Callithrix jacchus: one gene and its partner. The protein of the gene in region 1 interacts with the protein of each later gene in a pairwise test. Links are inferred from orthologs where the notes say so. Each region holds a gene or a part of one and is shown in the gene's direction. Other genes may lie near its edges.

What was found.
Region 2: the proteins of PER2 (region 1) and CSNK1D interact in binary tests that used the Homo sapiens proteins (3 or more experiments, as listed by UniProt). The link is inferred for Callithrix jacchus from reciprocal best matches to the Homo sapiens genes PER2 and CSNK1D.

What each region holds. Positions count from the first base shown.
Region 1 is NC_133507.1:159,581,891-159,585,390, reverse strand, and holds part of PER2 (period circadian protein homolog 2), read left to right. Parts: intron 1-36; coding exon 37-162; intron 163-944; coding exon 945-1,029; intron 1,030-2,337; coding exon 2,338-2,485; intron 2,486-2,579; coding exon 2,580-2,704; intron 2,705-3,500. UniProt on the Homo sapiens protein: Transcriptional repressor which forms a core component of the circadian clock.
Region 2 is NC_133506.1:137,905,637-137,909,733, reverse strand, and holds the start of CSNK1D (casein kinase I), read left to right. Parts: upstream 1-1,297; 5' UTR 1,298-1,347; coding exon 1,348-1,423; intron 1,424-2,115; exon of another isoform or gene 2,116-2,252; intron 2,253-4,097. UniProt on the Homo sapiens protein: Essential serine/threonine-protein kinase that regulates diverse cellular growth and survival processes including Wnt signaling, DNA repair and circadian rhythms. It can phosphorylate a large number of proteins.

The sequences.
Region 1 (3,500 bases):
TGGCTGTGTCTGTATTGCTGTCTGCTCTCTCCCCAGCCGGTCCCCCACAGCGGCTCCAGTGGCTACGGGAGTCTGGGCAGCAACGGGTCCCACGAGCACCTCATGAGCCAGACCTCCTCCAGTGACAGCAATGGCCATGAGGACTCACGCCAGAGGAGAGTCGTACGTCCCCTTCCATTCTCCCTGAGAAAATGAGGTTGTGGACGTCCGTTCAGAGTTAAAAAGCACACTCAAGACAACCCTTGGCAGTCAGGAGAGGCTTCATCATCACAGCTGTTTCTGCTTCCTTTCTAAACTTTGTTCACTTGGGACTTACTCTTTAATTTCTTAAGAGTCTAAACAGCTAGAAGCTATAGCTAAGCATTTGGTTGAAACTTACATAAAACAGACCAAACAAGCAACAGTGAAGATTTAACTAGGATAGAAAGAAGAAAATATAGGCCCGGCAGGGTGGCTCACGCCTGTAATCCCAGCACTTTGGGATGTTGAGGCAGGTGGATCACCTGAGGTCAGGAGTTCAAGACCAGCCTGGGCAACACGGTGAAACCCCATCTCTACTAAAAATACAAAAAATTAGCTGGGCATGGCGGCATATGCCTGTAATCCCAGCTACTCAGGAGGCTGAGGCATGAGAATAGCTTGAACCCGGAGGCAGAGGTTGCAGTGACCCAAGATTGTGCCATTGCACTCCAGCCTAGGCAACAGAGTAAGACTCCATCTCAAAAAAAAAAAGAAGAAAATTTAATGTGCTGTTTTGCTTTATTTTTTATTGTTCCTTAGGATCTTCGAATAGGTTTTATGTAGCTCTGCCTCTCAGATTTCTCATTCAGATTTTCCTTCTGTGTTGCCGAAATTCTCTCAGCCATCCTCAGTTCTCACTTTGGGGGACAAACTGAAGGAGGTCTCCTCAAACGAATAACGTGTTCATTTTATTTTTCTTCAAGGAAATTTGTAAAAATGGTAACAAGACCAAAAACAGAAGTCATTATTCTCATGAATCTGGAGAACAAAAGAAAAAACCTGTTACAGGTAAAAAAAAAATTCTGCATTTCCTTACTGAAACCAGAGTGTGGCCGAGTGAGAAAAGGGACCTGGGTGGAACGCTCACTGTGGCGGGCAGGGCTGCACCTCCTCCTGTGTTCAGCAGTCTGCAGCTTCAGGAGGCGAGAGCAGCCTGGTCCTGGGCTCACTCCGCCAGTGCAGGCACTGATGTCTGCTGGGTACCTGGTGCCCTGCAGGCCTGGTGGAGTGTGGCCAGGTGTGCAGGTCTGAAGAGCTGTGGCCGGGTGTGCCTGCCTGCCCGCTGGATGTGCCTGGGAGCCATGGCCTGGGCCGCTCGTTCTTGCTGTAGAGTGGCTGTATGGCCATGTGCTTACACTTGCATAACCTTTACACACTCACACATACACACACACACACACACCTGCTGACAGACTACCCAGCATCCACATACACAAACCTGTCTCAAGTGGAGAGTGTCACCCAGAGGCCATCGACCCACTCCCACTGCAGCAGCCCTTGCCTCACCACGTGCCACACTTCCCAGGCAGCTTCACACCGTCACCTGTGGGTTCGGGTTCAGGCTGCTCCTCTGCCCAACATGCATTTCTCACACAGCACGCACACAGACGTGCACACACATGCATGTGTCCCAGTCCTCCCCCTGCTGGGCCCTTGCTCATTCCCTATGCTCAGGCCAAAGCCTCCTGTGGGAAACGTCGGGCCCAGAGCACACTCCAGCCAGACACTGCTAGGACTTCTGGCCTTTGGGACGCGTTGGTGGACATGCTGCATGCTGGACTCTGTGCCGGGTTTCAGGGAGACACTGATGAGGTGGACATAGCTGTTTGCTCTGCTCGAGGGCCCCTACGGACAGGCATGTGATGTATGTCATGGGGGCAAGAGTCGACTCCACAGCATAGTGCAGGAGGCAGTAGGCATCATAATCATTACTAGCAGAGATCACATTGAAAACATTGGCCTGGCCCAGGAGGGACTTAAAGTACATGGGCTCTCATTGGCCCTGAAAGTTTAAGAGTTCAAGTGAGAGCTGGCATCTCCCACTGCTGAGTCCCTGACCCCTGGGGATGGCCTAGACCCCGGAGAGAAGCAGGCACCAGGCTGGGCAGCAGCCCCCTCCCAGGCCTCCCTGTGGACGGCACTGTGGTGCTCGTGCCCACAGGGCTGCCGGATGCCAAGCTGTCCCTGGGCTTCCATACCCGTGAAGCAGATTCTGAGTCCCCAGCCCTGTCTTCAGGTAGAACGAAAATGCTTTCTAAATACACAGTGTTTTCTTCAGGAGAAAAATAAATGAAAACCATTTTGCCGTTTCTTCAGAAATGCAGACTAGTCCCCCAGCTGAAATGAAAGCTGTCCCTGCCGTGGAAAAAGACAGCGTGGGGGCCAGCTTCCCGGAGGAGTTGGCCTGCAGGGAACAGCCCACCTGCTCCTACCAGCAGATCAGCTGCCTGGATGGCGTCATCAGGTACGCCGGCACTTCCCGCCGAGTCTCCACCATCTCCTGCCTTCCTGCCCCTCGTGTTGTGTGGCATCACCAGTGGCTCATGCCCTTCACACAGGTACTTGGAGAGCTGCAGTGAGGCTTCCACCCTGAAGAGGAAGTGCGAGTTCCCAGCAAACGTCCCAACACTAAGGTCCGGCGATAAGCGCAAGGCCACAGTCAGCCCGGGGCTGCGTGCTGCAGGTATCTGATCTGGGTAGAGCCGTTTCTATGGGTAATAGTATAAATCCTCTGGAGTGGAATCAGGCATTCTCAAGGCTTCCATGGACACAGTCTAAGCGTTCAGGCTATTTCTCAAATGATGAAAGTAGTTTAAAAGTCAGCACCCTCCTTAGAAGAGCTAGAGGTAAAGATGATTCTGTCAGAGCCTTGGCTTTGAGAACAGGAACCCAGCGGGGCTGCTGGAGGCCTGAGAATGTCCCCTGACCCCCTCTTGTAGCCACACTGGTCTTGAGTTGTCAGCCTAGGGCAGGCCTTCTTTCCAATGCATCTCGGAGGGGCCCTTGTCCCTAAATGTTAACATGCCCCATAAATCACAGACTGCTTAAATGCTGTCAGTGTTGCTGATGGTCACCACCAGGATTAGAAACAGGGTACCCTGGCCAGGCACAATGGCTTATGCCTACAATCCCAACACTTTGGGAGGCCGGGATGGGTGGATCACTTGAGGTCAGGAGTTTGAGACCAGCCTGGCCAACACGGCAAAACCCCATCTCTACTAAAACTACAAAATTAGCCGGGCGTCGTGACACATGCCTGTAATCCCAGCTACTTGGGAGGCTGAGGCAGGAGAATTGCTTGAACAGGTGGAGGTTTCAGTGAGCCGAGATTATACCACTACAGTCCAGCCTAGGTGACAGAGGGAGACTCCATCTCAAAAGAGAGAGAAAGAGAAACAGGGTAACCCAGATTACAGTTGGTTCCTGACTGTCGGAAAAGCCCCTCCCTGCAAGCCTGCAGAAGGGCTCCCCGGCCGCAG
Region 2 (4,097 bases), on another chromosome or scaffold:
GTTAGTGACTGATGGTGTCTGGCTGACTGCATCTCCTGTCTTCAGGCCCTACTGTGTAACTTCAGGAATGGATATCTGCCTCCCCGGGATATCTACCTCCATGGGAGCTGAGGGGTGGAGAGGAAAGACGGGGATGGAGACTGGTGGGTGCCACTGCAGGGCCCTTCGGGGGCTGCTTTCCTCTTCTGCAGTGACCCAGATGCCAGCTGAGGCTTCTGTCTCACTTAGGCCACGGTGCCCACACCAGAGCCCTGAATTCACCTGTTTCACCTTCTTGAGTTTCAGCAAGGATGGGACAGGTTGAGACAGGTGGACATGGGACCACGGGGACTGGTTCTTCATGGTCCCCATGCGCCGCAGCCTGGGGGGGCTTCTCTGGAGGGCTTTCTTCCCAGTGATGGGAATCAAAGGCCCCAATCTTTGAAGCTGACCGTCAGCCTGAACGTGCACATCCTTGTTTTCTTTTGCAAGGAGGAATATTCAGATCCAACACAGATAAGAATGTTGACTCGGTCTCCAGGCCGCAGGGACTGGTGGGAGGCAGGTGGTCTGTCCTCATTTTGTGAAAGGTGGTAGCCTCGTCCTCATCCTTCAGGCTGGACATCAGGACCTCCCAGGGTGCGGGCCTCTCTGTCTCTGGCCTCAGGTGTCAGGAGGCAAAGCCGCTGACGTCCTGAGATGCCCCACGCCCGGGAACTGGCAGCCAAGTGAGAAGGTCTCACTTGTGTCCTCCGGGCCGGGCCTCAGCTACCTGTTCCCTCCTGCAAAGGGCACCGCCTGTCTCCAGGAACTCACCTGGCTCTCCCGAAATCTCGGGGGACACACGAAAAGCCCCAGTGAGAGCGGTAGGAGCCTGCACGTGGAAGGGGCTGGCGGCCTGAGGTCCTGGGATAATGGGCGGGCAGAGGGACTGGGGCCCTGCGAGACGGTGCAGGGTCCGAGGAGGCTGGGAGCGCTCGCCCCACCCGCCCCCGCCCCTCGAGCACTGCGGCCCCACCCGCCAGGGGGTTGCCAAGGGAAGTGACGTCACAGCGCGATGGCGGCGGCTCCTTCAGGCTGCTGAAAGGGGATTTAGGCCCCGAAGATCCGAGTCCATCCGCGGCGGGGAGAGGGCAAGCGGCGCCGGCAGGGGCCGGAGCAGCGGCGGCGGCGCTTGGACTGTCCCATCCGCCCCGTATTGAGGCGCTGGGAGCGACGGGGCAACGGGAAAGCGATGGTGAAAGCGGGGCCGTGAGGGGGGCGGAGCCGGCAGCCGGAGCCGCAGTAGCGGCAGCAGTGGCGCCGCCTCCCGGAGCTCAGACCCAGGAAGCGGCCGGGAGGGCAGGATCGAACCGGGCCGCCGCCGCCATGGAGCTGAGAGTCGGGAACAGGTACCGGCTGGGTCGGAAGATTGGCAGCGGCTCCTTCGGAGACATCTATCTTGGTGAGGCCCCGCCGTCCCCACCCGCCGTTTGAGGACCCGGGCCCCGCGGCTACCGAGACCAAGTGCGACCGCGGAAGGAAGTGGCGGCCCCCGCGGGGTCCGCGCGCAAGCCCTGCCGCCGCCGGGTCGTCGCTAGAACCCAACGGCCACTAGACAAGCGCGGCCGGGGTTGGGGAGGACAGTGGGGCGTGGACCTGGGGGAGGGGCAGGGTCGGGGGGTGGGGGAGCGGGGTCTGGAGAGGGGAGGGGTGGGAAAGAGGGGACAGGGGAGCCGACCCGGGGCGGGGCACGGTCTCGGGGGTGCGGAGTCGGGAAGGGGCAGGGTCGTCGGGGAGCGGACCCGCGAAGGGCTGGGTGGGGCGTGGGGAGGCGGGCCCAGGGGAGGGGCAGGGCGTGATGGGGGCCGCGGCCCGTGGGAGGGGAGGGGGAGGGGGCGGGGCAGGGCCGGGGCCGCGGGCGAGTGTCGGCTTGCTCCGCGCCTGAGGTCTCCGAGATAAACAAAGGCCATGCTCTTTCTTTCGCAGCCCTGTCCGAGGATGTTTGGCTCCCCAGTCAGAGGCTGCCCATGCGTCTTGCACGCGTGGGGGATAATGTCAGAAAGACCCGAATGCCGTGTGGAGCTGGGGGAGTGGCCTGGCTAGGAGCGGGGCTTGCCCTCCACCTCGCGGCCGCCGTCATGACTGACCGCTGGGGGTTCTCTCTGCACTGCGACCCTAGGCCTTGGAGCGGTGACTGAGTGCAAATGAAAGTCCCACAGGGTTAAGATGCTGGCAAAATGAGAGGCCCATGAAGTAGTAGTACTCATGAGCTGTCCTTTAACATTCTCAAGGTAGATTTCAAAAAAAAAAAAAAAATGGGATTAGAACATTCTGGGTTGTCATATTTACAACAGAAGAATATGCATGTGGGCACAAGTGTATTGAAAGATTGGCTGACATCTTCAAGTTTGTAAAAAAAATTTATTTTGAGATGGAATTTTGCTCTTGTTGCCCAGGTATAATGGCATGATCTCAGTTCACTGCAACCTCCACCTCCAGGGTTCAAGCGATTCTCCTGCCTCAGCCTCCCGAGTAGCTGGGACTACAGGCGCGTGCCACCACGCCTGGCTAATTTTCTATTTTTAGTAGAGACAGGGTTTCTGTATGTTAGTTAGGCTGGTCTCAAACTCCCGACCTCAGGTGATTCCCCGCCTCCCACCCCTTGGCCTCCCAAAGTGCTGGGATTACAGGCATGAGCCACCACGCCCAGCCCAAGTTTGTACATAATTTTAAAGTAACTTAATTTTCCGTACTTGTCAGTGGGATTGTGCAATACAGGAGTTATTCCAAGACCCCCTGAACTTGAGGATGTGTAGCCTCGTGGGCAGTGTGCCTGCAGAAGGCCTGATGCAGACCTTTGAGGGGACCTATTCTCTGTTCCAGCAGCCCCATCTCTGGGGTGTGTTTGGCTGGGGCACAGCCAGGGTCCGGAATCCTATGGGATGTCAGTAATGCCTCTGGTCGCACTTTTTAGATTAATCCGCATGTGAACAGTCCCTACATCTCATACCCTTCTCACTTTTCACCTGAGAGATGACTCAGGACCCAGTGGGCTGACAGCATTAGGCTGAACCCATACATTTGGGTGGGTCATACTTTGGGTGCCTGGTTAACCTACCAGTTAACCCTGTCACATGCCATATTGTTGCTTTTGAACCTGTATATATGCCTTAGCAGCCTGTGAGTAAAACACGCTTTAGATGTTTGGGTTGACTAAACATTTATACCCAGGTGGTCAGCTGGATATGTTCTTGGCAGTGTTTTGGAAGTCAGAGTGCTTGGTAAATGGAAGGCATTTGGCTTATTTATAGATTGATAGATTTTGGCAAAAGTTTTAACTCCACAGTCTGAGTTACACTGCAAAGCCAGTCCATTAACCACTCTTAGGCAGGCATCAAAAAGAAGTATTTTAGGCTGGGCGCAGTGGCTCATACCTGTAATCCCAGCACTTTGGGAGGCCAAGGTTGGCGGATCACTTGGGGTCAGTAGTTTAATACCAGCCTGGCTAACATGGCAAAACTCCTTCTCTACTAAAAATACAAAAATTAGCCGGGTATGGTGGCCGTCACCTGTGATCCCAGCTACTCAGGAGGCTAAGGCATCCTGAGAGGTACAGATTGCAGTGAGTCAAGGTCACACCACTGCACTCCTCTGAGACCTTGTCAGAACAACTTTGTGCTTTCCAAAGATAGATTCAGACAAATTCTGGTGTGGTTGTTACCAAGTCGTTCACAAAGGTGGAAGGTGGCAGGCTGTCTGCTCACTCATGGTTGCACCCTCAGGCCTCACCTCATGCTGGGCATGCAGTCACGCTGGAAACCATTAGGGTAGGGATTTCCGGTGACTGTGGCTCTGGCGCCCTGGGGTTGGAGCCTTCAGACAACCATCCATCAGGGTACATGTCCAGTTACTTGAGTGGGGTTGGGCACAGCTGATTTGTTTTTTTTCCATCAGCATTGGCTCCTGGCCTACATTTCAGTCCTTTCAGACGACCCCCCTGAGGAAATGAAAAGTGAAGTGGTCATGTAACCCGGAGTAAGGCAGGCTGGAGGAAGTGTGGGTCTGCGCAGAGCAGCAGTTAGAGTCAAGATGGCTGATCTGAAGACCGTGAAATCATCTCCACCATAGTTGGTTTG